4 linked regions of the Caenorhabditis elegans genome follow. The protein of the gene in region 4 purifies or fractionates together with the protein of the main gene of each other region. This does not show direct contact. Each region holds a gene or a part of one and is shown on either strand. Other genes may lie near its edges. The genes, in order: elo-6, nspg-13, copa-1 and irg-7.

Region 1 (7,144 bases), on a different chromosome or scaffold from region 4:
CGAATTTCACTTGCATTTGCGTATTTTTAAAGAATAGTACTTTTTAAAATTACCTCTAGTAATCAAATTTGTTGACAGTTTTGAAATGAATGAAAAATTTACTTTAAAATAAAAGGAAAAGCTGCATTTAGTCAAAAATTATTTGAATAGTTTTGAGCTTTTGTAATTGCGTGGCGAGACCAATGGACTTACCCAATCCGATGTACCTTTAATTTAGCATTTTATTTGCATTTTTGAAATCCTAAAATTCTTTCCTAGGCTTTCGAAATTGACGATTTTCTGTGTTTTTTAAAATTCAAATATCGTTTCCTAGTTTCGAAAATAATTTTTCGTTTTTTAGTGTATCATTTTAAGCTTGTCATTGGGTTTTTTCTTTCTTTGCATAGTATTCCTCGAGGAATTATATTATATTTCACATTTACAAACTCTTGCCTAAAAATGAGACTGTTTTTTTGCAGATGGCGCCCTTGGAAACCATCTACGACGAATCGCTCAACAAATCGGCGGATTCCATTGATGATAAGGTTTTTTTCATGGTTTTATGGCCATTGTAATTTTTTTCATCTTTAGAAATGGTCCAAACTTTTCCCAAGGATTGTCAGCGACCCGGATCGATCATCCAATTTCATGACCAGAGCAATCTACGTCGCGTTTTCGGCTGTTCTTAGGAACCGTAACATTCTTGGACAAGAATATTTCACGAAGAATTACATCACTGGTAAATGTTTTTCTTATCACATTTTATAGTAAATGTTCTTTTTCAGAAAAGCTGAAATGCATGACGCTGTGCTTCAGAAACCCACGGTCTAACCAAATCGCTCAACTACTTCGAAATGCTGGGGATGCAACAAAGGATGGGTTTCTGAAAGAAGTCTCCCTCGTGATCACAAATAATGAAGGAGATCTTGAAGCCATCGAAGTTTTCTCTATGAAGTTCATTTATTTTGAGAATGGCGGCGTGGTTGCTCGTCTGAGCACTGACAAGAATGGCCAGGAAGATCCTCACTTCGCAAAGCTTGCTCAACTTGTATACGAGGGTGGCGACAGCGTACGAGATCAAATGGTGACGATTGTTCGCAGTGTTCAGTTCCTCTGCACAAAAGTTCTCGAACCGTTGCCAGAAGAATTCACGGCTAATTTTCGATTGGAGTACACAAACGATGCTCCATCCAATTTCCGCATTGATGGCTTCGAAGATTCTTCCACTTTTTACACACTTCCTGATGATATCCAATCGGCAACCATTGGTCACTTGCGCCCAGGATGCCACGCTGCAAACATGGAATGCTGGAGCATGTTGATGTCCGATTCATACGAAGCAGAGTTGACTCTCAAGCGACACCTGGACAAAGTTTCCGATAGGCATGGATTCAATCCAGTGAATGTGCTGTATAAATCGTTTAATTCGGAGGACAGTGACACAAGTCTTAGTCAGGCCACTACTGAATCTGTCAACGATCAAGGAGGAAACGAGACTTCTCCGGTGGATGATATAACTGTTAGTTTATTAGTTTTTTACATATAAACAAAAAATTTAAAATTGTAGGAGTCTCTCGAGAAAGCACAAATGTCGCCTATCCAGACGAGACCAACTACTCGCAGAGGAGCCGATGGCAGCAAAACCAGATCGTCTCCATATTCTCGTTCCTGTAAATAATTTTTTTCCTAGCTTTCAATAGATTATAGCTTCATTCTGTAACTTGGCATGTTCTATATCATCGTGTAAAATGTTTTATTGTCTTGAGTGTTTCCTTTCTGCTCCATTATTGTATCCTTAGTTTTTTTTATTCAAATTACAGTCATTCATAAATAAATCGACTGGTGTTATTAAATAGCATGTTTCCCATGACTCCATTTTCAAGATACTCCAGTGCATTTCAGAATTTTTCAACAATTGACCAATCTAAAAAGGATTCTCTCTTTTCTTCTTCTGCTGGATACCGCTCCGAGTATCTTTCGGTAAATCTCGAAATTCTCTTTGTATTCACCATTCATGCTGACCTCGATAACTTTTCTCAAGGTTCTTTGCTAAAATTTATGTGGTTTGCAAGGGAACGTGGCGATTGTTGATTGTTGGTTTCAAGTTTTGAAAAAAAACACAGTTTATTCTACTTTTCAATGTCAGACGTCACAAAATTTATCAGAAAAAGCTTTTTTATTGCAGTGTCTGAAACAATTTTATGTAGTATTCAGGTTGATTGTAGTCGTTTTAAAGGCGCGTGCTACTTTAAATTGGTCTCGCCACGAAAACCATATATTTGTATGTTCTGTTAAAAAATCACATTCTAGCGAACAAATATCTCAATTTTCATTTAAGAAAGAGCAGTCGCGCCTGTCGCCAACAAAATGGATCGTGGCGAGACCTATCGAGAGAAAAATGTTCTTTTGAAGTGGAGTCTTCAGATTTGGCGAATTAATTCACGAATTCACGACTGGATATTACCCAGACACAAAATGTTGTAATTTTTTCGCCAAGAATACCAGGTCATGGGATTAAAAGGATTAAAGATTAAAGAATACAATTTTTGATTAAAAAGATTAAAAATACAATTTTTTATTTCAGAAAATACTGGAAATTCAAACTCTTCTTAATAAAAAACTTAATTTTTATCGATTTTTCATAGTATTTTGGGAAAAATTAATTGTACTTGTATTCATTAAAAAATCTCTCAATGATAATAATAAGAACACATTAATTTTAGCAAATCACATCGATTTTTAAAAAAATCTGCAGCAACGTAGGTTTGGGATTACAGTACTCTTTAAAGGCGCACAGCCTTTTGCATTAAACTCAAATTTTTCGTGTCAAGACCTGGTATAGTATTTTTGGCGCACAAATCACAAAATTCCGTTACTGGGTATTATACACAAATCATGAAAAAATATATTAAAAACCATTTATATACGAAATTTAATTACTGTTTCAGGCACTTTTCAATTACTTTTTAATAAAAAACATCTTATCAATAGAGTTACAATTCTTTGACCGTACATTGAGTGTGTTCTGAATCGTTTCACTTCAAAAAACCTATAAACAAATGTCTTCCACTCTCTCCCTCTCTCTCTTTCCCCCGTCTACCGCCTCTTTCATCGCCCCATAATTTCCGAATTTTCTTCGAAAAATCACTTGCCTCCGCCTTTTTACCTTTTTTTCCAACAAAAAAAATCAGACCACCATTTGGTATCTCACTACAAGAGAGAGAGAGAGGGAGAGACGCAGAAAACGAGATGGTTAAGTATAAAAAGGAGTTGGTGATGACCGTGTTTTGTGACTTTCGGGCTCTTGGAGCCAAAATGTTTGCTTTGTTGTATTCTTATGTTAGTCTAGAGACTTGTACCTTGTACCCATCTACAGTAATCTTAAGCCCCACCTGTTAGATCTGGTTCTTATTTAGCAGTTTACTTTGAGCCACACTCTTCATATGGCAGTTCCTTTTTTTAAGTTTAAAATTGCAGGTAAAAATGCCACAGGGAGAAGTCTCATTCTTTGAGGTGCTGACAACTGCTCCATTCAGTCATGAGCTCTCAAAAAAGCATATTGCACAGACTCAGTATGCTGCTTTCTGGATCTCAATGGCATATGTTGTCGTTATTTTTGGGCTCAAGGCTGTCATGACAAACCGAAAACCATTTGATGTAAGTTTGTAGATTCTCTGAAACAGTAAATTTTCGGTAAAATTTAAATTTTATTATTGAACAGTTTAGTGTTGCAAATAATTAAGAACCCATTTTTTGATTAATTGAAAATACATTGCTGGTAGATTAGAACTCATTTTGTATCACACAATTAAATATTTCCTGAAACAGTAATTATTTTCTTACTTTTAATGCCACCAGATACAAAATACTATTTATTTGATGTTACTTTCTAAATAGATTGTCTGAAACAGTACATCTTTGGTGATTTCTTAACTATTCGGAGGTAATTAGAACTGGAAAGTGGGGCCAGAAATGCGATGTGAGTCTATAGATTCTTTGAAACGGTAAACATTTTATGAAAATTCAATTTTTTTTAATCAAAAGTTTAGCTTTTATCCATTTTAAAACAAAAACTTTTATAAATACTGCTTTGATAACTTTTAAAAGAAAATTGTGATCGTTTCTCAATTAACAGTGGAAATATACTACAAAATAAAAATTGCGGTTGAAACGGGAATTATATTTTCCACCAATCCACCCACTTAAAACCCCACTAATTTATTTCCAGCTCACGGGACCACTGAATCTCTGGAATGCGGGTCTTGCTATTTTCTCAACTCTCGGATCACTTGCCACTACATTTGGACTTCTCCACGAGTTCTTCAGCCGTGGATTTTTCGAATCTTACATTCACATCGGAGACTTTTATAATGGACTTTCTGGAATGTTCACATGGCTTTTCGTTCTCTCAAAAGTTGCTGAATTCGGAGATACACTTTTTATTATTCTTCGTAAAAAGCCATTGATGTTCCTTCATTGGTATCATCATGTGCTTACAATGAATTATGCTTTTATGTCATTTGAAGCTAATTTGGGATTTAATACTTGGATTACATGGATGAATTTCTCAGTTCACTCAATTATGTATGGATATTATATGCTTCGTTCTTTTGGTGTCAAGGTTCCAGCATGGATTGCCAAGAATATTACAACAATGCAAATTCTTCAATTCGTTATTACTCATTTCATTCTTTTCCACGTTGGATATTTGGCAGTTACTGGACAATCTGTTGACTCAACTCCAGGATATTATTGGTGGGTTTTTGTCCAATATGTAGTGTCTTTTTTTAGTACATAGTGTAACACGAAACTATACAATGCAAGTTAATATTCCGCCTAGATTTGATTTTTTTTGGTGATTTGCTTTAGTTTTTCAAACATGTATTTTTTTAACTGTGATAGTTAGCAAAATATTACCATTTCACTAAATGTTGTCGTTGTCGGCTGCTGTAATTTATTTCAGAACATGAGTTTATACAGCTTTGACACTAAAATAATTAATCGACAACATTTTGTAAATTGAAAACATTTTGCTAAATATCACAGTTTATGAGTTTTTTTTGTTGTTACCAAGCAACTCAAGGAAATTTGATAGTGGACACTACATATGTATTAGAACAACTAAAATTTGTAGAAAATTTACAATACTTTTGAAACAGCATAAAATTAGTAAAATGCAATATTTCCAGGTTCTGCCTTCTCATGGAAATCTCTTATGTCGTTCTGTTCGGAAACTTCTACTATCAATCATACATCAAGGGAGGTGGCAAGAAGTTTAATGCAGAGAAGAAGACTGAAAAGAAAATTGAATAAAATATTAGAATAGAGATAATTTATCTTTTTTTTCCGGGTAGTTTACACTTTCTATTAAATGTTCTGATTTGTATAATAAAGGTTTAGTAGAATACAATTATTTTAATTGTTATCTTAAAAACAAAGTATGGTAACTACCTTATGTCAGGCAGGTAGATTTTTTCGTTCCTATGCCTATGTTGAAACCTATAACTTTTTCAATATGAAAAAAAGTTTTTTATTAAAAAATTTATGTTTTTCCGATTGGTGATTTTTCGTCGTTGAAGAGATCGATCAAGCAGTTGTGACTTAAGACAATTTTGTCGTAAATATGCCACATCGCGCTGAAGTACAGTATGGTACCAACAACGAAGACGGAAAAATAACGATAAGAGGCGTTTGGAATCACGGGAACGTCTGCTGGCTAGCATGCTTGGTACATTTCATCAGCAGAATCCCCAATGTCCGTACAATTCTAAGTACAATTGTTAGCAGTATAACACAAGATAGCAATTTGTCAACTTTGGATGCTCTAAAGATCAGCCTACTGAACGAATTGGTGGATGCACTCTCTAAACTGGCTTTGAAACAGTAAATTTTTAGCAATAAATAAATTAAATACAATTTGATAGAAAAAATCCAACTGTAAGCTCGTGCTGGTTAATTATACTGAAATAGTGAGCTCTACAAAAATGAAGTTTGTTAGACTTCTAGAAACAGTGAAAAAAGTTTCGGTCAAAGTATATTCACTGAACAAGAAATGACCTTCGTCCCGATTTTCTCCTTCAAAAATTATGACACCATTCAGCTTATAGCTATAATCCTCTTCTTCGACAGAGAAGCTGTTTTCCGTCGCTTCCGGAGATGAATCAAATGTTGCTATCTTCTTGATATCTTCACGCATCTGTTCTTCTAGAGAATCAGCTTGTTGTTTTGCAGCTTGTGAGAAGATCGTCGATAGTTGGCTGAAAATAATACATTTTTAAAGTTCTTAATGATTATAACCAACATTCTAAGTCCATTGAACATTTGAAGAACATGGGTCATTTCGAGTCGTCGTTTTTCATGTTGCTTTGAAAAATTAGTCTGCATTATTCCAAGATTGTTGAAATTGAATCCTTTCGAAAATGGATAATGCGCATGTAACTGGTGAGCTCTTTGCAATTCAACAAATATCATTGATGGTAGATAGATGAAGCGTCCGAATCCTGCTAATGCCGTTGATAAGGTTTCAAAACCAACTGACACTTGGATGATCAGTGGTGTTCTATCTCCTCCTAACACTCGGCCAGGTATCAATGAGTTTCCACCCACAACTGGGAATAGAACTTGTCCAAATTCCTTTAAAGCTTCCATGCTGCTTTTCGAATTTTTGCTTGCAACAAGCATTATATCCACTATCCACTCGAATGAAACTGGCATCATATCTGCCGCGTCTTGTTGTATATTCCAAATGGGGATATTCCTTGTAGCTATCGACAGATTATGAACGGCCTATAAGTTCATATATTTAATTGAAAACAACATTTTCATACACAATTACTCACCTCAGCTAGTTTTTAGAGCATCCAAAGTTGACAAATTGACATCTTGTGTTATACTGCTAACAATTGTACTTACAATTGTACGGACATTGGGGATTCTGCTGATGAAATGTACCAAGCATGCTAGCCAGCAGACGTTCCCGTGATTCCAAACGCCTCTTATCGTTATTTTTCCGTCTTCGTTGTTGGTACCATACTGTACTTCAGCGCGATGTGGCATATTTACGACAAAATTGTCTTAAGTCACAACTGCTTGATCGATCTCTTCAACGACGAAAAATCACCAATCGGTTAGCTGGAAAAGCTGGGAATAAATTATTTTTTGAAGA
Region 2 (7,012 bases), 2.0 Mb from region 4:
TCTTATCTCGGTGGATGGAATGAAGACGAAGCTGTAGTGGTCACAACATCAAAACCGTCTCTTGGATATGCAATCAGCCAATTCACACAGCTGCCTGAATCAATTGCTATCGACGACGACAAGTCAATTAAAGCGTACTATGAAAAATATTACGCTGAGTGGTATCAGTAAGTGTTTTTATAAAAAGATTTCAAAATGTTTAAGCAAACTATTTCCTTATTGCATTACAGAAAACACAATCAAGCTGCCGGCACCCCAGAGGCATCAGCCGCAACAGTTCCTCGAGAAATAAAAATAGAACTGGCTAAGCCAAACACAGCTTCTTTTGGATCAGCGACATTGCAACCCACTGTGAGTCATTTGCCTCGTCTTACCCAAATCATCTCTCTTTTTTTCTGTTTGAACACGACATCACTGTCAAACATGGGTTATCATCAATGCTATCGTTTTAGAAGCTATTAAAATCGAAGCCACATATTTTTATAGGGAATTTCTTCACCGTCCGCTGCAGCCGTAGAGCCGACAAAAGAACAACTGGACAAAGTTTGCGAATACGTGGGCAAAATATCCAAATCATTTGGAATCAAAGACCTTGTCGGATTCGCCAAGAACAATTGCCCTCTGGTGCAGAGCTTCCATCCAGCGGTATATCTCTCGAATTTATAGTCTTTTTGCATTCAAGTATTCTATTTTCAGTCCACCTGCGAGCAAATCCAGCATCTGATGAGTTACTGTGAAACAGGAATACTTGTAACCAACCAATGATCTCATACATCTTCCCAAACTGTGTATTTCTACTTTTGATGCCATGTTTTGATCTTTTTATTGCTAAATGTCACCAACTTCCCTGACAAATGTATTCTCTACCTTGTCCACAAATAATGAGATTCCATGACTTTTTTTCTAATAAATCTGGAACTGTAACAAGTAATTACCAGCCACGCCTTGTTTCCTGGCGTCATTTTAGGACTGAAAAGAGTTTTCGTCATTTTCAGAGCCGCTCCCTTTTTCATTTTCCATCAAAACTGAAAAAAAAGTGATAATGCAATTTGAAAAAGGGTATGACTATCATAATAAACGAAACGATAAACGTGCACATACACGCGTTAAGGAGAAAAAGAGGTGGGGAAGAGAAGGGGATGGTTGGCAAACCCATAAAGCGAGCCGGCCCTCGAAAGGTGGAGATTCAGACAGAAGTGCCAGCGGCAAAGTGATAACGGGAGACACGACTTTGCACTACGCCTGCTTCCCCGCGAAATGTGCTCTACCAATTATTGCCTGGCTGTTTTTGTACTAGTTGGTAAGATTCTTGACAGATTCTCTGTATCATGGAGCGCTTTTAATCGAAATTCTAGTAAAAACTAGGCACTATTTATTTGATTACCGATTTTTCAAAAATTCATAGTTCAAATGTCAATTGCTCACAACGATTTATCTAGGCACTCTCTTTTTCAAAATTTCGTTCAATTCCTGATTCTCGCATTCTCATTGCCTTTACCCCATCATTTACAAGTATTCAAAACTAAACAAGACCGTTCCACAGTTATTAGATTGGCAGAATTAAGTCTTGCACTAACCGGATTGCTTTTGCTTACTTATCATCAGTTTTGATAACGAAAAATTCCACGTGTTGCCCGGTAACGCCTAAATACTATTATGACTAAGTAACTTTTGCAAGATCGGGAACGTTCCCAAAATGAAATCTGCACAAGTATTAGACTACTGTAATTTCCTAAATCTAATGTGATTGTTGGTATTAGTTGCGTCACAACTAGCGGCGGGCATTTTCTTATCAAAAAGAAAATGTACGGTGGCACTGGATACGACTTTTAGAAACCAAACATTCCAGGCTCGATTATTTTTCAACCTATTAGAAGTTCTGGGAAAAAACTGAGAGACATGACCTTAAAAAATAAACCAATGAAAAGTTTCAGGCGTTGTGGCGGCACAAAACCCAAGTTTAACGGCATGCGATATCAATAACCAGCTAAATGTTTGTCAGAGTCAGTTCAATCAACTTTTGGGATTTGATGGTAATGAAACTGAAAAATAGAATTAAGCACAAAAGTTTTGGTGTTTCAGCTTCTCTCGGTGCTGCCAAATATCAAGACTTGAGAAGTGCCATTGAGCAGTCGTATGCCAATAACCAAGCATACGGGCTTCTTACAACTTGCGATGCCTTCAAGCAGTACAAGCAGTGCTAGTAAGTGACATAGTTTGCAATGTTGTGAGATTCACAATGTGCGACGGGAATATCTCAGTCGGTAGTGTGGTGATCGCAAGCAATCATGAGACCACTAGTTCAAGTCCTGCCTTTCCCTAGGATCACCCAACCTAGCTTGGGAATTAGAGGAATCCACTAATGGCTCGTGGCTTGAAACTAAAGCCTAGTGGGAGTTTAAAAACGGAACACCCTTTGATCCTTTAATTTTTACATCTCAAATCAACTGATTTATAGCCAACCAAAAGAACAGTTCTACGCATGTGCTCAGAACCCATACGGTCTTCTAACTGGAACCAAGTAAGTTCTCAATTCAATATATACTGTAACAGTTTTTGTCTGTTCTTCAGCAACAACGGCGCCCCACTCACACAGGATCAGGCTAATGGATACGTAAAAATCTGGAACCAACTTGATTTTGTCTGTGGTGCTGGATTCTCGAGTAAGATTAGCAATTATACTGTAATACTGAATACTAGAATTGAATTTTCAGTCTTTGCCAACTCTGAAGTTTGCGGCTCTTCTGTCTTTAACAACCAGACAGCTGCAATGAGACAGTGCGACAATGACTTCAACGTGAAGTCCATGGCTGACCCAGCTCAAGCTTGCGCGTAAGTTTTCAAGTTTTGTTTCCAATCAAAAAGAATAATGAATAATCTTAACTTTCTAGATACGTTGAGATCGCAGCCAACTGCTACTTCCAACTGTTCTGGAACGCTTGTAAGAAGCCAGAGATGGCCTACTGGGGTTGCAACTACGAGCGTACCGGTACCAATCTTCTCTTCCCACAGTGCTCTCAGATTTTCTGCACATGTAGGTTTTCAGAATGGGATGGGGTTTAAATAATGTTTATTTTATTTTCAGTCCACGAACGCGTCTGATCGTCTTTTGTTTAATCATCTCCATTTTTTGTTTTGGTCAAAATGTTTTATTTGAATTCACATTTTTGGGAATAAATCTATGTAATTTAATTCATAATTTTTTAATTTCAAAAATTTGTTTTCGTTTGAAATGCTTCAATGCATTGAATACTTCTGACTTTGTGTGTGTGTGTGTTTTTTTTTGCAAAATTAAAAATACATATTTGTGCTCACATTATGCTTTCAGATGTGGCAAGACCGGTGTTTGCCATTTCTTGCGTTGATTCTTGGATTGTCAGGTAAGTAAATTGAAATTAAAACTTGTGAAATATTTGTTTTAATCTTATTTTTTTATTCCAGGAGTCCAATCAGCCGGTCTAAACTGTGACTCGACGGTTTATTTTGAGTGCCAAACTGCTCTCAATGCGGTTTTGAGCATCAGCGACCCACAGCCATGGTTTGACCCCGAAAACTTCCGCAAGGAGGCAAGTTTTTAATACAATAGTTTCCACGCTTGCCATTCCATGAAATGATAACTGAATAAGGTGATATGACGAAGGGTGTGCATAGTGAAATGTGAAATGTGAGGTTTAGAACGTGTCGATGATAACTTTTAAGTCAATGGGATTAATTATGTCATCATGATTGTATTATAATCTGATTTTTTGATTATCAGAAAAAAGAGCAAAACACAATTATTGATTAAATTTAGGTGGAGACAAACTACCAGGCTCAAGGACCCAGTGGAATGCGTAAAGTTTGCAAGTCAGTACTTCACTAGATACTCTCTCTCGAATCCTGAATATAATTCCAGAGCTTTCCGCGAGTTTAAAGTTTGCATGGGCTCTGAATACGCGAACTGCATGTCTGCGGTCCATTTTGTTTCTGTATCGGCCACTCCATTCAACGCTTATCAATTTGTTGGACTGTTCAACCAAATGCACTTTGTCTGTGGAGCTGGATTGCAAAGTATGAATTTTTATTGTCATTTCCCGACGCGATGTCGGAATTGAATTTTGTTGAGTACACAATTACACATCTTTTTGGCATGGTATGAAGTTTCTAGAATAGGTGGAAAACACGGGGAGTGTCGAAATCAAACTTTCTGGGGCTTGCTGCTGTGGTAATTTATACACATTATGAGACTCTTAGAGGAATTTCTGAGTTATGATTAGAATAGGCATGAATACTAGCACATATTAGGTTTAAAAAAAACATTCAAGAGACGCAGGAAAATATGATATACATGGGAAATAGGTCCATCGCTGACCACAACCGAAGTCGGCTGCGCATTTACTATAAATTCCTAATTTGCTCAGAGATCAGAAATCGATTAACACAAAAATAGCGCCTTATACAGACTAATGGATTCCAACCGTAACGAGGTAACTTTCTTCATTTCAGCATACCTCCTTAATGAGGGCTGTATGTCAACTACTTGGAGAAGCCAAAGTGATGTCCTGAGACAATGCCGACTAGATTATGAGGTGAACAGTGACGTTGACGCAAATCAGGCTTGCACGTAAGAAGACCATCGGGTATTATTAAAAAACGCCAACCAAACTTACAGACAAGCCAATAAGTACTTGATTTGCTTCGAAACTCAGTTCAAAAACAACTGTGGTGAAAAATCAAACGATGCCATGTTCTGGGCTTGTGAATACTCAAGAGTCAATGTTTTTACTCGATTCCCTCAATGTGCAGCTAGATGTGTTTGTAAGTGAAACTTGAAAATTGTGAAATCTAGTAAAATTGATTTTGTTTTTTTGCAGTGCCATATAGCGGAGGAATCATCGGATGAGTCGAATAAAACGAAATGATGTCAGATACAAACAAATTATTAACTTTTTGTCATTCAATCTTAACTATGTATTATCATTTGTGATAAGAATAAATTTTTATTACTGAGAAAATGCCATCGGTATAGTATATGACAATCTATTGGTGTGGCGATGGGGAACTTCATGAAAAGTTTTGAAAAAAGGGTTTTGAAATAAATATTGCCAATAGCTTTTTTGGGACGTTTTCAACATTTGGTATATTAAACATTTTGGTAGGACAACAGATTATAAGCAAATTATTATTGAAAAAAAACTATTTTTTGACTGTGTATCTTTTATAAATTGTTTTACTTATTATGCAATATTTGAAATAAAAAATTAGTTTTTTTTTCATTCGTTTTAAAATTTCACCGTCAAATTCAAATACAAGGTTCCGAAAATACTTTTTCCGCTTAGCCCATTTAATGCAATAATCAATGTCTTTTAAGCGTACAGGATTATTGATAATCACTTCAACTGATAAGGACTGCAATTCTTAATCCCATAAATGAAACATTTCCCTAGCTTTTCCGTTCCACGACATGCTGTTGAATGTATTGATTGCGGTGTTGGCAAGTAAGTTCAAAATGTACCCCCAGATTGATTGACCTTTTAAGCATGTTCAGTAGCACCAACAGCTTTTTGTGCATGCGCTCCTTCAACTACAGGTACATGCACTCCAGATTTACTTCAGTGTTGCGGGCTACAGCTCAAATCTGATCTAGGCTTGTCAAACTGTTATGGTAAAGCTTTTATAACAATTTAATTGAATGAGCTATCAATTTTTGAGGAATTCTTGCTTTCGAGCCTGAATGTCACCGTCAAGAAATTGAAAACATGTACATCAACGGTATAAGTGGTTTGTTCAAAGTTTGCGAGTTCGTTTTTTCATACTTACATTGTCTTTTGCCCATCGAAAAAAATTGATTTCAGCGCTTTTAACAAGTACTATGAATGTCTTGGACCAGCACGACGTGACTGCACCAGCATTAGTTATCACGTGAAAGCAGGTCTTCGACTTGGGTAAGTTGGCACAATTCATTATTTCTGTTAATCTTACCAAGTTTTCAGAGATGCCGTGCAAGTGGTGTCAATGTACAAACAATTCGGATTTGCGTGCGGAGCTGGATTTGAAGGTAGGTTTTCAATAATTTTTGAGCAACAAAAAATTTTAAATGTTTAAGGATTCTCCAACAACGATGTTTGTATGTCGAACATTTTTTCCACAAAACAAACTCAGATCAGCGATTGCCGTGCCACATTTGCCAAGAATTTGTTGGCAGATTATAAGAACCACTGCATGTAATGAAATATGATCAAAAATTTACAACATAATTAATTTTTAAAAAATCTGCAGGTACTTCGAGCAATATACCGGATGTTTCAATGCATTGTTCGATCACAGTTCCTGTAACTCTGAGAGCTCTTGGTGGGGATGTGAATATGCACGACAAGCTGGTCGAGCTGTTCTGCACGATTGCAGTCTTCAATGCTCAAGTAAGTCCAAAACAGATTAATGAGCAATTTTTATTTTTTCAGCATTCTGAACGCCGGGAAGAAATGCAAATGTTTTATCAATTTTGTGGTATTTCGATTTTGAAATAAAATATTTCGTATGTTTCAACAAAAAAGCTAAATCTAAAAGAGATACCATCAAGTTGAAATAATTTCCCATCCAAAAAAAATTAATAAAACTTTTATTACAAAACAGTACAATACGAAATGTTATTGAATTTCGTAGAACCAGATCAAATTACATATTGCGCCACGTTGTTCTAACATTATTCGTAAAAAAATAGTGTGAAAATGTAAAAACTCATTTAATTTATCCGATAATTACAATCATTTTAGCTGAAAGTGCTTCAAAAATGGTTGGAAATTGCCAAATGATGAATCGAATTTTCCAGCTTTATATTTCCACAATTGATATCTTTCAGGCAATTTTTTTAGCACGTTTATTAATGTTTCAGCTAACGTCGATGTTATTTTCAAGTAAATCAAACAACATTCTGTAGTTCGGCACTAATTTTTTTAATGAAAAATGTGGGAAAAAATAATGCAACTTTTTTTGTAGAATTGCCGAAAATAAATGCCACCCACCCCTGATCATA
Region 3 (10,432 bases), on a different chromosome or scaffold from region 4:
TTAATGAAAACAACAAAAATACGTGAAATATTCGATTTTTTCAGCAAAAGTTCGATATTTCTTGTAATTTAATTTGTTTTCATTAATAAAAAGTAAATTTATGAATAAATTTATGAAAATCCCAAGAATTTCAATGTATAACAACGAAAAAACGGGAAAATCGGTGTGAAAATTAAATAAAAATGAATTAAAAATATTAATCTCGTAAATCCACACCTGCGGCACGGTTATCATGCAAAATTTTGTCGTTTAAATTTAAAATTAGGATTTTTGGATTTTAAAAAATTATATAAAATCTGGGAATTAAAAAAAAAAATTTCACATTGATATTTGACATCAGGAGCATAAATATGGTCTATTAACTACGAACTTTGACAGTATAATTCGTAGCGGCCGGCGACAAAGCTTCATCTCCAATAAAGAAATCAAGATCGTCTATCCCGGCTCCGACTCGGTTATTCCAGCGCATCGCCTGCGAATTCGAGCTCGCCACCTTGTCCTTCACGGCAATTGCTGGAAAATTCACTGGATTTTATGAAAAATAGGCTGAAAATCAATAAATCTAACCAGATGGAATAATAAACTGAGGTTCCGTGTTCCCAGCATATCCGAGCTTCGTATAACCCGTTCCATTGTCGATCACACATGCCGGTAGTTGATGGGCCGACATGCTTGCTGCAAAAAATTTGGGATTTTTTTTGTTTTAAATGGGAGAAAAAGACGGAATTTCAGTCTAGCGGTTTAGAAATTCGAAAAAATGGGCTAATTTCCGCTGAAATCTCCAATCTTGGAGCGTTTTTAAGCCGGAAATTGATAATTTTGCAAATAAATTAATTTTGTTCCTTTTTTGGCTTCAAATATACCTAAATTAACGCAATTTTCAACCGCTGTGACACAAAAAATTGGCAAAAATGGAGTTTTTCGCTGAAATGTTTAACAAAAATTTAGCTAAATAATTTTATGACGATTTAAAATTTCAAAAAAAAAAAAGATTTAGCAAAAATCGTAAAATTTTGCCATTTTTGGTTTTTTAAAACATATTTTTTCGTCGATTTAGCTACTTATTAAGCCAGTATTTTAGCAATACGTAACTATCGGCTAAAAGTACCTAAATCCACGAAAAAAAAAGGATAAAATCACTCAAATGTGTCAAAAATCAAATAAAAATCAATTTCCGACGGCTGTGACACGAAAAAATTGCAAAATTGGGGATTTTCGTTAAAAATAGCCCATTTTTTCGAAATTTTGAAGTTCAAAAATGCGAAAAAAAAAACTCAGTTTTGGCTTGGATAATCGGGTTTATTTGATTATTGTTCTATTTTCCATATTTAAGTGATTTTTCTCGCGTTTTTTCGCTGATTTTGGCAATTTTTAAGCCGTTATACATAACTATCGGGTTAAAATATCCAAATCCACTAAAAAACAGGATAAAAATTATTTAAATATGCCAATATCAAATAAAAATCATTTTCCAACGGCTTTTTGGAGTTTTCCGTTAAAATTAGAAAATTTTTCCGCATTTTTTTACCGCCATAAATTTTTCTGTCATATTACGATATGAAATTCGGTATTTTCAAGTCACCTAGAGGATCAGAATCCAAAAAATCGTGAAAAAATAACGTAAAACTGCCGAACTGCACTAGTTAAACAATCGGCGAGTGCGGTGACTCATCCAAAGAATAAACAGAAAATCGATATTTTTACGATTGAAATTCACAGGAAATTCTTGTAGGGGGAAAAGAAGAAGAACAATTGTTTTAATCCTTTGCTGAGAAACTGAGAAACTGGGGGTGGGGGATCAAAAATTAATACCTTAATTGTTCAGTTTATTCGTGATTTTTGGATTTTTCGGGTCTTTTCCACGTCAAAAATGATTCTAAAATTCAGATTTTATTATATATATTATTTTAAATCAATAAATTCCGATAAAACAATCAGTTTTCAAGGAAATATGTGGACAGACATCATTGGACCACTTAGAAATTGCGAAATTCACTGAAAATTATTGATTAATTCGAAATAACTGAATAATTAGGTATATGTTAACTGAATTCCATGGAAATTTGCAAGAAAAATGAGCCAAAACGCGATAAAATCCTGGCTTTTGCCTTTTTCCGGTGCCAAAATGGTTTGTGTGCATTTTGTCGTAGTCCGCAATACCAAAACCCTAGACTTTACGACAATTTTCTTACTGTATTTTTTTTGAATTTTTTCGAGCAAATTTCTCCATGTAAATTACTGATTTAGAGAACATTTTCTTACCCCAAAGATAAATGAAAAAAAGTAAAAAAATCATGATTTATTCAAATAAAATAGACCAGCATGCAATCATAATCTTTCTGTGGGGTTTAAATAATTTTTAAAAACACATAATTTAAATAGAAAACATGAACCGCCGCCCAACGGGAAAATAATATGAAGGGACCAAAAGCAATGGGAATTGTGGAAGAACAAGGCAAATAAATTACAATAATTAATATCACACAAAAAACGAAAAAATTATCATATTTCACAACTTTTAGCTCTTCAGAGTTGAGATTCGGAGCCCAAGAACATTCTTTCCAACTTCTGCAACCTGGCACACGTTGCACACTTCTCCCTCGAGCCCTTCAGAGTACGATGCTCCACAATACGGGCATTTACAGAGTGGACGTCCACGGTAAAGAGGCACAAATTGACGAGAGCACACGACGAATGGATTATGCTCATCATAGGTCAACTGATGCGCGTCAGTGTTATCCTTCTCGGCGGCAGTCAGCACTTTTCGGATTTGAGCAGCAACTTCTGGTTTTGGAGCTGGAAAAAAAAATTAAGAATTAGAAATAAAATTTAAAAAAATCAACAACGCAAGCACGTACCGAGCTCCAATAGACGTTTGCAAAGTGATGCACAAGTCTTCATTTGCTTCATTTTGAAGAAAGTATTGATAGCAGATCTCAGTGTCAGGATACGATGCATTGGTTGAAGCTCAAAGTGTGTAAAGTAGGCAGCTAGTTCGGCGTTGCGTTTCGCATCCTCCAAATTCGTTTTTGGCAAATCTTTTCGATAAGTTTCAAGGAGAAGTGCTGCAAGATATTCCCGTGTGATTGTGATGAGCTGCTCCGCTTCGGCGACTTCTTGTTTCGAAGACACAACGATCAGTGGAACAGATAGAAGAATCTCCCGCAGTTTCTCGACAGCATCTCCAAACTTTCCATTCGTCGTCATTTGATAAGCCTTTTGCAGTTTCTTTGCAAGTTGAGAAAGTTTGAACGCAGCGACTGGAAGATGATTCTTATCCTCCTGGAAATTACGAACCGGATGAATGGACACTGGTCCAGCTGGTCCGAGTCCTCCCCATCCACGATGTGAGAGTCTAGAAGCTGCATAAGCCTTCACGAATACATCCTTGAATGGTGCTGCTTCAACGACTCCAATTGTATCATGAAGAAGCTTGATGGCAGTTCCGAATGAACCAGCTGCAACATGATCAGCAGCAAGACGAGAAACATTCGGCCATTCCGATGAGACAGCTGGAGCTGGGTTAGGAACCACTTCCTCATCATCATCTCCACCTTGATCATCGGTAACATCAGGAAGAGCCAGATCATCATCCACATCCCATCCACCTTCCTCATCTCCATCAACTGGTCCTTCTCCTTCATCAACATCAAGTTCACCATCTTCTCCGACAAGATACTCATCATCTCCCCATGCTTCATTTCCAACATCACCATCCTGCAAAAATTAATATTTTATAGCTCAGATAGCTCAGAAATCAATAAACTAACATCATCATCCATAACAGCAAAGGCAGCAGCAGCAGGCTTCACACCGCCAACATTAGTTGGAGCAGATTGTCCTCCTAATCCAAGAAGCTGTGCATCGAAAGTTCCTCGAGCCGAGGCAAGAAGTGGCCAATTCTCTTCTAAACGAGCAACTGGTGGTGGTGGGACAAGGAGGCGAGCATTTGGATCAACTGGTGGGATTGGTTGCTGACGACTCTCGAGTTCAGCCTTCAACTCCTCAGCTTCAGCAGAATATCCATGAGTGGCTGCGGCGAGGTAGGCCAGAGAAGTTTGTCCACAGTTTCGGAGCACTGAAAAATTAACTTTATACTTTATTTTGTTGAAAATGACCCAAAAAGTAACGAATTTCGTCATGAAAAATCCTGAAAAGTTTCTGAAAACTCACAAAAAAAGTTATGGCGGTTTTGAGATTTGGAAAAAAACCTATTTTCAGCTAAAATCTCAAATTTTGCCAACTTTAGTGTGTCATTGATTATTACTTTTTAATACATATTTTGGTCGTCTATCACACTTTTATTCGTTAAAACGACCAAAATACGTATTAAATAGCGATAATTGAATAAAAATCAAGTTCCGTCAGCTGCGAAACTGAAAAGTTGGCAAAATATGAGATTTTAGCTGAAAATTGGTAGATTTCCAAATTTTTTTTTGAGAAATCTCATGACGATATTCGGTAGATTTGGACCATTTTTAGGTTCAATAATTTCAAAATCGTCTAGAATTTGCAGAAATTCACGAAAAAAATACGCAAAGAGGAGCTAAAAATCAATAAAACTTTGACTTTTGCCCCCTTCTGAAATCCAGCTGCACATTTTTACCTTTAACTCTCTCCTCAACATCACCAGTGTAGAGAGCTGTCTGGAAATGTCCGTGAGCATCATTTCTAGCCTGTGCAATCTTCATCATCTTGACAAGCTTATCCGTATTTCCAGTAACAAAATACAAAAACGAGAGCTTCTCAAAGTTTTTCGTTCGTTGATAGCTCATCTCAACAATTTGATGATTGCCTTGAAGAAGAGCAGTCTCTCCGAGAGCCTCCCAGACTGCTGGCTCGTCGAGCTTCTTGGCGGCTTCCAACGCGATTTCCAGGTTTCCACATTCAATTGCCAACCCGAAGCGAGTCTTCTCATCCTTGACAAAGTGAAGAGCAATCTCTGGGTAACCCTTTTTCTCGAGATATCCAATGATGGATTGACCGACGAGATTTGCGGATCGAACCATGTTGACAACTTCATCGATTCGTTTGTTAATCAAAGCAAGCTTAAACTTGTAATCAGAATTATCAATTGGAACTTCAACTGGTGTAGCGTCACGATTCAAGCAGTAGAGCACGTTTCCTCGAATAGCCAGAATGTACAGAGGAAGATCCAGAGTACGAACGATTCCACAATCTCCAGAATTGATTGCATATTTGATGTGATTGCTAGTGGTGTAGAGGAATACCGAGTCATCATCCCAAGCTCCACTCTTCACACGAGTCGACTCCTGTTGGGTACACAGAATCTCCAATTTACGGTTGACCAAGGTCAGCGTGTGCTTTGAAAGAAGAGCTGCGAATTCCATAGACTTGCTCCAAATCACATAACGAACTTTCGACACTTTCACTGAAGCAGTCACAATCTTTTGCTGAACATCAAACAGTTGAAGCCCATCATCATTTCTCAAAAGGAGCATTCCAGTTCCGGCATAGAAAATATCGTCGACAGCCGTGTTGATATTCTCGAGTTTGCGAAGTTCCTTGTTCGTCAAATCACGCAACGACACATTCTGAGCCTTGTCAAGAACTGCAAAACGATTACGAGCAACCCAAAGTGCATTGATTCCGGTGCTCTTGACGCACGCAGCTTCAGTGGTTCCATCAGAGTTACTGGCAACTTTGTACAGCTCAAAGGCGCATAGATCCTTATTGTGAGTACGGCTTGTGAGAAGGAAGGTTCCCTCGGCAGGATTGAAGGAAAGAGAGTAGTATGGTTGCATGAATGGTTGTGGGTAACGGAGCTTGCACAGAGCAACATCCTTGCTGAAAATTTGATTTTAGAGGGGTTTTTGCTTGTACATCCCCTCTGAATGTACAAAAAATAACGAATTTTGTAGTGAGAGTCCTCAAAATTTCCGGAGAAAAGCTCTAAATTTAGCTAAGATCTCCAACTTCGTACTGAAAATAACAGATTTTTTAGATTTATCAAATTTTTAGCTTTAAAAATTTTTTTCCTGCATTTTACGAACAAACCTTCTGTTAAACAGTGAAAATCGAATTTAAAATGACTAAAATTAACTTTTTTCGTCCACTGGTTGTGAAATGGGTTGAAATTGAAGAAATCAACGGGATTTTTCTCATTTTCTAAATATTCTCCTATTAAAAATCGGTTTTAGTAAAAAAAAATGGTTTAAAACCGATTTCTAATAGAAAAATATTCAGAAAATCAGAAAAATCCCGTTGATTTCTTCAATTTCAACCCATTTCACAACCAGTGGACGGAAAAAGTTAATTTTAGTCATTTTAAATTCGATTTTCATTGTTTAACAAAAGATTTGTTCGTAAAAAGCAGAAAACATTTTTTGAAAAGCTAAAAATTTGATAAATCTCAAAAAAAACTCTGCTATTTTCAGTGGAAGTTGGAGAATTTAGCTATTGAAATTACGCCTTTTTTCCGATTTTTTGGAGGCTCTAAATACGAAATTCGCTTAATGGGGCACATTTAAAGTTTTTCATTTAAAAACTACTGAGACTCCACAAAAACATGATTCAGTGCGCCGGAAAATGCATTTTCGCAACTCTCGCACGCTTTTTTTCGCAAAAAAAAAACGCTAATTCTGTGCAAAAATGCATTTTGCGGCACACTTTTCTTGGCATCAAACTACTCACTTGGTTGTCAAATCGAGCTTGCGAATTTGTTGTCCCTTCACATAGAAAACCAAATTATCACTGACACAATAAGCCGGGCGTTCTCTTTGAATTTTAAAAACGACCATTCCATTGTCATGTCCTGCGGCGAACATGTTCAAGCTTGGATGGGCGGCCAAAACCCAGAAACGCTCATTTTCATGTCGGAAAACGTGAAGACTGGTACGCTTCTGCATATCCCACACACGAATCGACTTATCCTCCGAGTTGGAAAGAATCAAGTCAGCATTTGGATGGAAGATCACAGATGAGACGTTATTGTAGTGTCCACGGCACGAGTCGAGCTCCCAGGCTTTCGTCTCATTGTAACGCCAAATCTTGACTTGACGATCATCGGATCCCGAGACTAGAATTGGATTGGTATGATGGAATGCAACCCAGTTGACTCCACGATCGTGTCCCTCTAGCACATGCTTCACAACTGCATCAGGTTGCCCGAATAGCTCAGCTTGTTGCCCTCCGGTTGGCCGGCTTGGAGCACCTCCACCAGGCATTTGCTTCTTCCGAAGTCCAGAAATATCCCAAACACGGACGGTCTGATCCAAGGAGGCAGAAGCCACAAGATCTTCGGTTGGGTGGAATTGAGCACACATGACGTAGTGATTGTGTCCGGTGAGGATGGCGATCGAGTTTCGGCTCTGCCAATTCCAAATCCGAACCGTTTGATCGTCGGACGCAGAAATGATCCATGGATACTTATGATGGAAGAAAGTGGTACGAATATAATCCAAATGTCCGAGAAGTGTGAAAATACAGCGTTTCTGCTTGTAATTCCACACTTTAATCTTATAATCATCTCCTCCAGACACAAAGATCGGCTGATCATGATGGAAGCAAATTCCTCTCACTGGACCATCGTGCTCGTCGAACTTCTCGAGAAGAACGCACATTCGGTAGTCCCAGAGTTGAATGACTCCACTGTGCAGCGATGTGAGCACCCATGGCCGAGTTGGGTGGAACGAAATTCCTGGAAAATTGGGAAATTATTGAAAAATAATGCCAAAAACCAAAATATTTACCTTTAACCCTAGCGGATTTTGATTCAAATTTGATAAGGAGCGACATGATATCCGATTTATAGTCGGTAACCAGTCAAAAACTGCTCCTCGGCGTGAATGAAGGTTCTGAAATTATGGAAATGACACGTGGATATATAAGAATGTTTAAAAAAAACAGACAAAAATGCAAAAAATCAATGAAAAAACTTGGAATTTCGATTAAATTGATAAAGAAACTACGAAAAATACCATAAAAATTAAGAATTTCAGAGATAAAAATCGGTAAATCCACGTTAAAAGAGACAGAAAATGGAGAAAAGAGGACAACGTGGAAACCTGCGCATCAAACGGAATGTGTGCAAACACGGCGACGCGAAACTGCACAGTTTAGGAAAAATGACCGTTAAAGGGGAATTTTAAGTGGGAATTGACATAAAAAAGTGCTGAAAATTGAGGAAAATGGAGGTTTTATTCGGAGAAAGTAGTTTTTAACTGAAAAATTAGGGTTTTTGAAGATTTTTCCCACGTGTTCATATTTAATTTCTTCTCAAAATGTCATTTATTGCTTAAATATTTCAATTTTCTTCTTTAGAAGCTTCTAACTCCATGGCAAAACCGATTTTATATTCATATTGGCGTTCGTCGTGTGCCTGGAGAGTTCGCATCGGTAATTTTAGCTTGGAAATTCTATAAAATACTGATTTATAGCACTTGCTCTGAAAAATATCGACTACGAATACCGGCCAATCGACTTATTTTCTGAAGAATCCAAGGTTAGAAAATTTCCGGCAAATTGGAAAATTGCCGGAATTGAAAATTTCCGGCAAAATTCGCCAGAGCGGCAAATTGCCGGGATTGAAAATTTTCGGCAAATCGGCAAAGTGCCGAAATTTAAATTTCCGGCAAAATTCGGCCTAGCGGCAAATTGCCGATTTGCCGGAAAAAACCACAATTTGTCGAAAACTTTTGGCAACGGTAAATCGGCAATTTGCCCAAAATTACAATTTCCGGCAAATCGAAAATTTAATGAAAATCAAAATTTTCGGGCAAATTGGAAAATTGCCGGAATTGAAAATTTTCGGCAAATTCGGCATATTGCCTGAATTGAAATTTCCAGCAAATTGCTAGAATTGAAAATTTCCGGTAAATTGGAAAATTGCCGGAATTGAAAATTTCTGGCAAAATTCGGCAGAACGGCAAATCGCTGATTTGCCGGAAAAACACAATTTGCCGAAAACTTTCGGCAACTTGTGGTTTTGCACATTTTTTTCTGGAAATTTCAGAATTTCAATTTTAATCGGTAAAATTCGGCAAACGGTAAATCGGTAAATTGCCGGAATTGAAAATTTCCGGCAAACCGGCAATTTGCCATCCACCCCTGCCCTACTCCCACTTCCATAGAAATATAGCTGTATTTCAGAACAATGCAGAGTTCGTCAAGCACAACCCAGCGAAAAAAGTTCCAACTTTAGTGATAAATGGCTTATCACTGACAGAAAGCTTGGCAATAATCGAATATTTGGATGAAGCCTATCCGGATCCTCCGTTCCTTCCAAAAGAATTGGATAAGAGATCGTATTCAAGAGCTATCGCACTTCATGTGAGCTTTTAACATTCTTTAACAACTCTAAGCGAGCTCTTTTCAGATAGTCGCAAGTATTCAGCCACTTCAAGCAATCAATATCCACAAAATGCTCAATGAAAAGGAGCCGGGATACGGTGACTTTGTGGGTTCTCACGTGGTGTCAGAGTGTCCCATGTCGGGTTGATCTACCTAGATCTACAAAAAATGCGGGAGAAGAGACGCAGACTTCTAGAACGTGCTGCTGACGTCACATTTTATCGGTGAAAAAAATTTCCGCATTTTTTGTAGATCAAACCGCAATAGGTTCCAAGAGGCGTTTCCCGATAGTTCAAAATGTATTTCAGTGGTGCAATCACTTTGTGAACAAGGGATTCTTAGCTCTCGAAGAACTTTTGAAGAAGCATTCTGGGAAATATTGTGTTGGAGATCAGCTTACAATTGCTGATATCAACTTGCCATCGATAATTTATAATGCGAAAATGTAGGTTATTTCAAAATTTTGAATTTTTAAATTAAAAATTTTGAAATTTCCAGCTACAAAGTCGACATGTCCAAATATCCAACTATTACTCGAATTAATGAGATTCTGGCGGAAGATTTTAGATTCAAATTGGCTCATCCAGATAATCAGCCAGATGCTCCAAATAAAAACTAATATTGAACAATGAATAAAGTTTTTAATTGAGACTATATGTTTAAGATTTAAAAATTTGGAAATTGCCTGAAATTCAGATAGCCGTTCAGCAAATTGCCGGTTTGCCGGAAATTTTTTATTTCGATAAGTTGTCGGTTTGCCGGAAATTTTCAATTCCGGCAATTTTCCAAAATTTGCCAGAAATTTTGAATTTTGACAATTTGCCGATTTGCCGGAAATTTTCAATTTCGGCAATTTTCCGAATTTGCCGAAAATTTTCAATTCCGGCAATTTTCCGAATTTGCCGGAAATTTTCAATTCCGGCAATTTTCCGAATTTGCCGGAAATTTTCAATTCCGGCAATTTTCCGAATTTGCCGGAAATTTTCAATTCCGAAAATTTTCCGAATTTGCCGGAAATTTTCAATTCCGGAAATTAGCCAGTTTGCCGGAAATTTTCAATTCCGGCAATTTGCCGAATTTGCCGGAAATTTTCAATTCCGAATATGTCAGTTTGCCGGAA
Region 4 (7,726 bases):
TAAGTCCATCGTCGTGTCTACAATCATCCAATGCGTTGAATGTGACTTGTCCGTTAGAGAACTGAAGTGGAATGAGTCTGACAGCATTAGAAATTTCATTTGCTTGCAGGCTATAAGTAGTTCCGGTAGATCCACTGACAATTCCGAGAAGAGTATAATAGTTTTCGACGGTGGCGTTGCAAACAAATCCTTCCGGTTGTAAACGTGGATTTGAAGTCAAGAAACCGTAAAGAACCAGTTCCATTGTTCTAGACATATCATAGAAAAGACCAAGCGAACGAGTATCAGTATCATCTTCTGGAGTGGTTTGGAAGATTTCTACAAAAGATCCCGGTGCCATTTGTCTGGAGAAAATGGCATAATTCAAAGCATCCCAAAGTTTGACAGTACATCCAGTATCGGCTGGAACTGAAGAAGCAAGAGTGCGAAGAGCAGTGGTGATTGCAGTGAGGTTATCAGCTGGTGATTCAGCAATTGGTCCTCCCCATGTAGAGTTGAAACCGACCAGAACAAAGTTTCTAATCCATCCACGATTTTGCATGAGAACGTCGCGGAGAATTTCTTGGAAGTTGATATTGAGCATGGAAAGTGAAGCAATAGAATTCTGAGTGATTTCAACGGCAAACACCATGTCAACTCCATAACGGATGAATTCAGGATTTGGTCCTGTTTCAATACATCTTGCCATCTCACAGCTCTCACCAGCGTAACCAGGTGGGCAGACGCAATGATCTCCGCTAGCTGTTCCTCCATTGTAACAAATAATGTTCTGACAGTACGTTCCTGTGAACTCCGGAGTACAGAAGCAAGTGGTGTTCGATGGGTTCATTACTCCTCCATTTTGGCATTGATGATCTGGTGGCGGGGTAGGATGAACGGCAGCACAGAACATAGTTCCGGCACGTTGAAGAGCCATGTCATTATTATCACGAGCAAAGAAATTGAAGTAAAGAACTTCTTCTGGAACACGGCAAGTGAATGGTGGGAAGTAGAAGTTGAATTCACAGGCATCTCTGTACATTCCACTTGATCCGTAAACCTCGGTTTGAACTCCGTCACGAATAGCATAAATCTGAAGATTGGCATGCACACGGTCCATTGAGAGGAACTGAGGGTAGTTGGTAACATGGAAAACTGGAGATGAATCAAATCCAAGAACTGGCTGACGTAGAACTCCTGCTGCCGAAGTAAGAGTAGAAGCGAATGACCAGAAAATATCATAGTCGGGGCTGTATTGAGTTTGTCCGCCAAAGTTGAACTTCTTCTGATAAACCTTAAACGTGCAAGCTGCTTCTGGTTCAAGTGATCTGATAGAGAAGAACCATTGACCAGCAACTGGCGAGTTATACGTCCAAACATAGTTCACACCATCAGAAAAGGCGGTGTTGAAAGTTGGATACTGTCCTGTTGGGCTTGTCACAACTAGAGTCAAATTTGTTCCAGTGGCTACAATTGTAACGTAGTCAACGCTAAGATCAAAGGCAGCTGACTTGTACAGATTCTGGCTGGAGCAGTGTGAGTAATCTCCGGAAAGAACAAGTTGGGATCGGAACAAGGTGTTAAGCATGTGTCGGTAGAAGAACTATAAAAGTTAATTGATATGGGAGATATAAAGTGAAGTGACTTACGGTCGAAATAGTGCTTCTGTCGCTGAAATAGAAAGTGTTACCACTTGAACGAGCAGCCATGTCCACCATATCTCTATATGCAGAGTTATCTGGAGATGAGTTACATCCATCGGCTGGAGATGGTTGAACGTAAATGAAGTAGATCTGAAATTTAAATAGAGTCAACATTATTTGCTTTCATGTTATTTACCGGTGCTCTCCAATAAGATTCCAGATGGAACACAGTTTCCTTCTCAGCACTATCATTTGGAGTGGCGTCCGTAATCACATAGATCGGGGATTTGTTTGTTGGATAGAGAGAAAGTGCAGATCTGTAATGAATTAGCATTTTTAAACATTATTACATACCAGTGAACTTACGCAACAGCAGACATGACAACATCATCACATCCTCCTTCGCTTGGAGCGGAATGGATAGCTTTTGTAAGATCGACCATTGCAGCGTCCCATGAATCATATTGTCTGTTCACCAAGAGCTCTGAAATAATACACTTTCATGTCAAATATGTTTTAGATCAAAACTCACTTCCGTTATCAAAAAGAACAACAATGAACTTTGATAGATATCCAGGTTCACTAGCGAGAAGATCAACAATACTTTGAACAGACTCAGTTGCTTGTTCAATAACTGCAGAGAGCTGGCTTCTTGATCGGATGACAAGGGTGAGAGTTGGGTTTTCAGCGTTGAAGTCAAAGCCTGACATGTCGGTACACAAGACTGCAAAGTTATTATGTTTTAACAGATAATTTTTACTAGTGCATACTATTCTGGCAATGGAAGCCACTGAATCCTTCTGGGCATTGACAACGGTCACTGGTTGGAGTCGGCAAGAAACCTTAATAGTTATTATAAAAAATATATAATTTCAAGGATGAATTGTACCTCCGTTAGCACAGAGCATTTGCGAGCAAGTACTTCCAGAGTAAAGTCCAAAGCAATAACAATATGCAACTCCATTAGAGTCAGTAAGCAACTGCCCTCCGTTTTGACAAGAAGTTATCGGTGCTGCAGGTGTTGTCGGGACAGCGGGGGTAGTAGTTGTTACTGGTGGTACTGAAAAGGTACTTTTTCTTAAAAGTCTTATATAAACTTCTTATATACACTACAAAGAAACTCACAGACGCATTGGTAAGGAACAATACGACGGAACTTGTAGCCAGAGTTAGTCACACCCTCCACCTGAAAACAAAAATTTGAATGTTTAGCACCTTTGGTTCAATCGAACTTGAATGAGATTGTGTCCAGCATCGTTATTGCTGGTTTTTCTGCAAGTGTATCTCTCCAAGATGTATGGATAAGTACAGTTGAAACGGGTTGTCATTGGAATGTATCTTGAGATGTGGTTCTCGGCACCGGTAAATCCAATTGCTTGGATTTGACCAGGAAAGTCCAAACCTTGAGCATGAATTGCAACAACCGACTCAGTATCGAAATATGTAAACTTGAGATTTGGATAGTCACTACGCTCGGCTTGATCTCCTGAAGTGAATCCACCGGAAACATGAATGCTACTGCGGGATGACATCATCATTGTACAAAACTGCTCGCTGGTGTCGGCTCGTGGTCCAAGCATATATTGTCCGGGAGGCAGATGCAAATAATTTGCAGTGAACATTGTTGGAAGTTGAATGGATTCGTCTGGGAATATGAGATCTCCATTTTCAGCTTGAAGATAGAATGTTGGGTTCAATGCTGACGCCGTCTCGACTTCAATTTTGATATTCCGCATCGTCTCGTCAACGACGACGATGTATGATTCAGAGCAATTAGCCAGATTGTAAGCATCAATTGCAATGTCATCAAATCCGTCGTTGTTCGGAATGTACGGGTTGCGAGCAGAACAGAGGGCTGAAAAATTTCTGCGTCATGGAACATTTTAGAAATATAAATCTTAAAACTCACGATATTGGCAAGTTTCACCGGTGTACCCTGGCTTGTTGCATCCTCGAGTAGCCATTCCAGCCAAAACGTGTGGTTCAGCAATGGATCTTTTGGAAATATGATGGGTGTCCAACTGAAATTAAAAATTCGAATCGCACCTGTTTGCTAGACCTTACAAAAATAACCCTTTCTTCCATAGTCCTGTACTTTTGCTCTCTGACTGGCTCGAAAAACTGCTTCTGCGATGCCGGACTCCATGATCTCAAAACCGCGCGTATTCTGTCCTTGTGACTGAGCTCCTGCTCAGTCGCCAGGCAGATCACGGCCAGGGCCGCAATCAAAACCCAGTTCCTCATTTCTAAATAAAAAATATTAGTTTTTTTGGAAGCAAACTTGAAGGGGTATTATCAACAGCTTAAAATGAAAAAGAAGCACTGGAGTAATGCGACTAAAAGTACTATCAAGAAAACCTTATAGCAATCAAAGTCGTTAAATAAGAAAATGGGTTGGGCACGCTCGTAACATCGTGGCAACTTCTTATCTTTCAATGCTATGCATAAGGGCATAATAAAATTTTCCCCCGGGCTCTCCTGATTTTTCATGTTCTTGTTAACAATAAAACGCCTTACATTTTTATGAGTCAAAATTCAAAACATAAAATTTGCTCGGACAATAAAAGAACCTCGACATTTAGAATTCACAATCGAATTACCAGAGTTACCAAAAAACAAAAAGTCAATAGAATTGAAAATGATGATACATGAAATAAAGCATAGAAAAAATGGGAAATCTCAAACAGACATGGTTTTCATACGGGTAGGCACGGTTATGCTTGAAGATGGGAAAGAAGACAAAACAACCATGCTGGCAATTGTCAATGGCTAGAGATCCAACTTGCAGACCAGGCTTGGATGCCACCAGTCGCTATGATAAAAATAAAGTAATTTTGAAAAGGGAAACAGTTCAGATATTGTATATCAAAATGAGCTATTCTAGTTTAGTGGCGGATTCGTTTGATGAGCAAGTAAGCGTCTCTTGGGCTAATACGATAGTAGTCCTCGATAATTCCGTCATTGGTGAAGCCATGCTTCTCATAGAATTGCACCGCATTTTTGTTGTTGACCTGGAAAATTACTTTTTTTCAGATCCACTTTTTTCTGGATACCTGCACATGTAAGTACATGGTCTTAATTTCTTCCATCTTATTGCACAATTTTAATGCGTAGTCGATGAGAATTGTACCAATACCGATTCTGAAATAGCACATTTTATTACCTCGTAAAACGCCCTTGGTATAATAATTAACGCTATTAAAACCGTCATTTTCAGGTAGAACTGTACCAAAAAAACGTCATTGATAAGGTAAATTTGATCTGACTCAAAACTCACTGTCGGTAGGCGGCAAGGGTTCCAAGTGTCATGAGATACAACGACTTCTCGTCTGAAATATCGTCAATGCGACAGCACACGGCGCCCACGACGACATCGTTGTAGTAGGCAAGACGTCCAAGTTCTCCGCAATATCGAGCTTCCACATAGAACTTGTCGTTGTAGGCAATTGGGAAGACATCTTCATTGAGCTTTTTCAGTTGCTGAAATTATAGTAAATTGAAAAATCGAGTTTCGAGTTTTATGAAGTTCGTGTATTTTTTGTTGAGGTTTGAAAAACAAATAGGATTTCAGAAATCGCGTTTTACTGATGAAAATGGGAAGGCTAAATTAAATTTAAAAGGTGGAGGTTAAAATCATCTGTTTGGTTCAAGAGTGAGTGAAGACCTTCAGCAAACTTTGAGTGTGCTTCAGCAAACTTTGAGTTCAACTACTTGTCTGACATGCTCGGTAGGCTACAACGTATTTTAACAGCTCATTCTATGCCAATTTACACAATTTTCACAGGTACAGAATACAGGGCAATGTTGAAAGCTTCAAAAATGAACAGCAAAGTCGGCCTAGGTTTGCTTTTTTAGCCATTCACAGAATATATATAAATCGGAACAGAATTTTATTGAGTGGGCTCACATTCACTGCGTGCAAGAGTAATATTCAATTTTTTAAGACGCAAAAATTAAGGCTACATCATATTCACATTGATCGAGAAAATATGGGTTTCATTTAATATTATGAATTCTAGTTCGTTTCATAACATACATTTCCTTCAACAAATTAATAAATTCTCACCAAAATGTTGTGCGGCGTAATTTCTCCCAAATGAACTGTCCCATGACCGGCAATTGTTTTCAGTGCTTTTCCATTCACGTCAAATTTATTAATCAATGGCACCAGTTGATCAACTTGATCCTGCTTCTCTGGCTCAACTGAATCGGAAACTTTTTCGGGTGTGCTCACTGCTTCGGTATTTTCTGCATCGCTTTTTGTTGGGCTATTCTTTTCATCGTTACTCTCGGATGCTCTTTTCTGCTGCTGTTGCTTCTTGGCTCTTTTCTTGGCACTTTTACTCATCGTGTGGTCTGACTCGTTGTTGGTCTGCTGATCGTTCATTTTGCGGTGGCTGAAAAAAAAGTTTTGACGTTTGAAGAATAATATAGAAAAAACTGAAGGAATTGAAGAAGAGACAAGAAATCACTTACATGACACCGAAATAAATAAGAGGCTAGCAGAAACAGAAAGAACAATGAGCATTGGTTAGTAAAACACGGAGGATAACCGCGCGCAAATTGTGTTTATTCAAAACAATCGCCCTCTGTTTAGCGTTGCGGAGCGTCGTTTGTACATACGAAACTAATGTGACTAGCCGGGAAAGAGAGGAGACGAGAAGAGAACACATGTGTTAAGAGGCAGGTGACGACGGCCACCTCGTGGTGGCTTTTGTTTAAAATAAAATCGGAAGTATAAAAAATAGTTTATTAACACAAGAATTCAAAAAAAAATTAACACGAAAACTTAAATCCCTTACAAGTTCAATTAAAATATATATTCATTTATTTATGTTTGATGTTTAATAACGTCATAGAAATTTTTTTATTGCAAGACATATGTATGAGTCAGGTTGATTCGTCTAACAAAAAACGAATCACCTGGAAAGAATGATGGGCGCGGTCGAACACGAAAGATTTCAAATTAAATTTTATTGGTGTTGAACTTCATTAAGGAAGTTTGTCGTGAAAAGTACATATGAAAAAGATAAACTTTTGGATTTTACTTTCAACTTAATAAGTTGGAAAATGTAAAATTATTTGAAATTTTAATTGAAGAAGTTTAAACCATTTTTTCATTGAGTTTCAATGACAAAGTAAGGTGTTTTTCTTTGAATTTTATTATAAGTCTGCAAATAAAAATTTTGAATTATAAAGTCATAATTCAGTAGCTTATACATTTACGAGATAAGAAGATCAATCTTCAAATAGAAAATTGAATGTGCAAAAAGCGTATAAAACCCACAAAGCTCTGCCTCACCTCAATGCACTGCCAACACTCGCTCTCTTCGCACATTGGCAGCTGCTTTTCGAGGTGAAAAGGTAAAAGGGAGAGTGAGAAATTTTTTAAAAAATAGTAATAAGTTTTAACTTCAGATTTTTGTTTTGTTTTAAATTTTAAAATGAGACACGAAAGTTGAAAATGATTTCGAATTTATACGAAAATGGAAAACTACGAACTAGCCCGTTTGTCTGTGTTATCATATTTACCATCACGTCAAAAAAGGCCCATTTTAGATGATAATGGGTTTTGTGGATCGTTTTCGCTGAAACAATTATTTCTGAGTAACGGGTAGCGAAGAATACCGACAAAACTTGAACGATCGTTGAATGTTGACATTGCACGACATACAAATATTTATTACAATTATTTTGAGAACATGAAAAGAAGGTTTACTTAACATTGAATTCAGAGAAAAAATGTAGAAAATAGGAAAATAAAGATCACAAGAAAAAAGCATAAATACCAAATTACAGAGCTCAGTGACCGTGTTCTATGATTTATGTTTCCATATTAATGCTTATCACCAATTACTAAAGAATGAATTTCAGTACCCGCACGAACTCGACAATCGCAGCACGTTGAAGTTGTGATAACTGTGGGAACCCAGCGTCCGTTATCACGACGGAGCACATCAACGTTTCGATATTGTTGGACACACTCACCCCAGCCTATAAATATCCGAATTTTAGATGAAAACTCTTACAGAATCTAGGAGTTTAGAATACGGATTATAGATCGTTTGCACTTTTTTTATATTGTAATAAAAATACGTGAATTT

Evidence for each region.
Region 1: the proteins of irg-7 (region 4) and elo-6 fractionate together in Caenorhabditis elegans (co-fractionation; one large-scale study listed by BioGRID). This does not show direct contact.
Region 2: the proteins of irg-7 (region 4) and nspg-13 fractionate together in Caenorhabditis elegans (co-fractionation; one large-scale study listed by BioGRID). This does not show direct contact.
Region 3: the proteins of irg-7 (region 4) and copa-1 fractionate together in Caenorhabditis elegans (co-fractionation; one large-scale study listed by BioGRID). This does not show direct contact.

What each region holds. Positions count from the first base shown.
Region 1 is NC_003282.8:5,384,872-5,392,015, reverse strand, and holds elo-6 (Long chain fatty acid elongase 6), read left to right. Parts: upstream 1-3,456; 5' UTR 3,457-3,462; coding exon 3,463-3,636; intron 3,637-3,741; exon of another isoform or gene 3,742-3,762; intron 3,763-3,823; exon of another isoform or gene 3,824-3,844; intron 3,845-3,918; exon of another isoform or gene 3,919-3,939; intron 3,940-4,086; exon of another isoform or gene 4,087-4,107; intron 4,108-4,207; coding exon 4,208-4,734; intron 4,735-5,070; exon of another isoform or gene 5,071-5,091; intron 5,092-5,168; coding exon 5,169-5,292; 3' UTR 5,293-5,387; downstream 5,388-7,144. Other genes in the region: htp-1 (HORMA domain-containing protein), read left to right, coding at 459-524, 571-718, 765-1,498, 1,547-1,657; F41H10.12 (CACTA en-spm transposon protein), read right to left, coding at 5,936-6,236, 6,281-6,696. UniProt on the Caenorhabditis elegans protein: Catalyzes the first and rate-limiting reaction of the four reactions that constitute the long-chain fatty acids elongation cycle. Uses malonyl-CoA to add 2 carbons per cycle to the chain of long-chain fatty acids.
Region 2 is NC_003284.9:5,251,866-5,258,877, forward strand, and holds nspg-13 (DUF19 domain-containing protein), read left to right. Parts: upstream 1-3,328; coding exon 3,329-3,380; intron 3,381-3,441; coding exon 3,442-3,566; intron 3,567-3,793; coding exon 3,794-3,846; intron 3,847-3,895; coding exon 3,896-4,050; intron 4,051-4,485; coding exon 4,486-4,603; intron 4,604-4,651; coding exon 4,652-4,797; intron 4,798-4,853; coding exon 4,854-4,882; 3' UTR 4,883-4,990; downstream 4,991-7,012. Other genes in the region: Y34B4A.10 (aECM cysteine-cradle domain-containing protein), read left to right, coding at 1-167, 231-351, 487-645, 697-765; nspg-14 (DUF19 domain-containing protein), read left to right, coding at 1,258-1,300, 1,935-2,033, 2,083-2,203, 2,459-2,521, 2,572-2,663, 2,715-2,832, 2,892-3,034, 3,086-3,102; nspg-12 (DUF19 domain-containing protein), read left to right, coding at 5,444-5,477, 5,528-5,644, 5,692-5,779, 5,835-5,924, 5,973-6,037, 6,086-6,203, 6,259-6,398, 6,441-6,448.
Region 3 is NC_003279.8:2,893,044-2,903,475, forward strand, and holds copa-1 (Coatomer subunit alpha), read right to left. Parts: upstream 7,818-10,432; 5' UTR 7,759-7,817; coding exon 7,713-7,758; intron 7,661-7,712; coding exon 6,655-7,660; intron 5,809-6,654; coding exon 4,607-5,808; intron 4,079-4,606; coding exon 3,771-4,078; intron 3,718-3,770; coding exon 2,859-3,717; intron 2,797-2,858; coding exon 2,519-2,796; 3' UTR 2,286-2,518; downstream 1-2,285. Other genes in the region: arx-1 (Actin-related protein 3), read right to left, coding at 371-513, 568-670; gst-43 (maleylacetoacetate isomerase), read left to right, coding at 8,298-8,358, 8,400-8,464, 9,112-9,291, 9,338-9,418, 9,621-9,757, 9,811-9,931.
Region 4 is NC_003284.9:3,239,759-3,247,484, forward strand, and holds the start of irg-7 (Protein irg-7), read right to left. Parts: upstream 3,879-7,726; 5' UTR 3,867-3,878; coding exon 3,687-3,866; intron 3,644-3,686; coding exon 3,532-3,643; intron 3,478-3,531; coding exon 2,855-3,477; intron 2,809-2,854; coding exon 2,748-2,808; intron 2,683-2,747; coding exon 2,512-2,682; intron 2,465-2,511; coding exon 2,393-2,464; intron 2,347-2,392; coding exon 2,155-2,346; intron 2,107-2,154; coding exon 1,989-2,106; intron 1,940-1,988; coding exon 1,819-1,939; intron 1,773-1,818; coding exon 1,629-1,772; intron 1,583-1,628; coding exon 1-1,582. Other genes in the region: F40F4.7 (N-terminal methionine N(alpha)-acetyltransferase NatE), read right to left, coding at 4,508-4,633, 4,676-4,763, 4,900-5,102, 5,689-6,009; pqn-37 (Prion-like-(Q/N-rich)-domain-bearing protein), read right to left, coding at 7,459-7,616.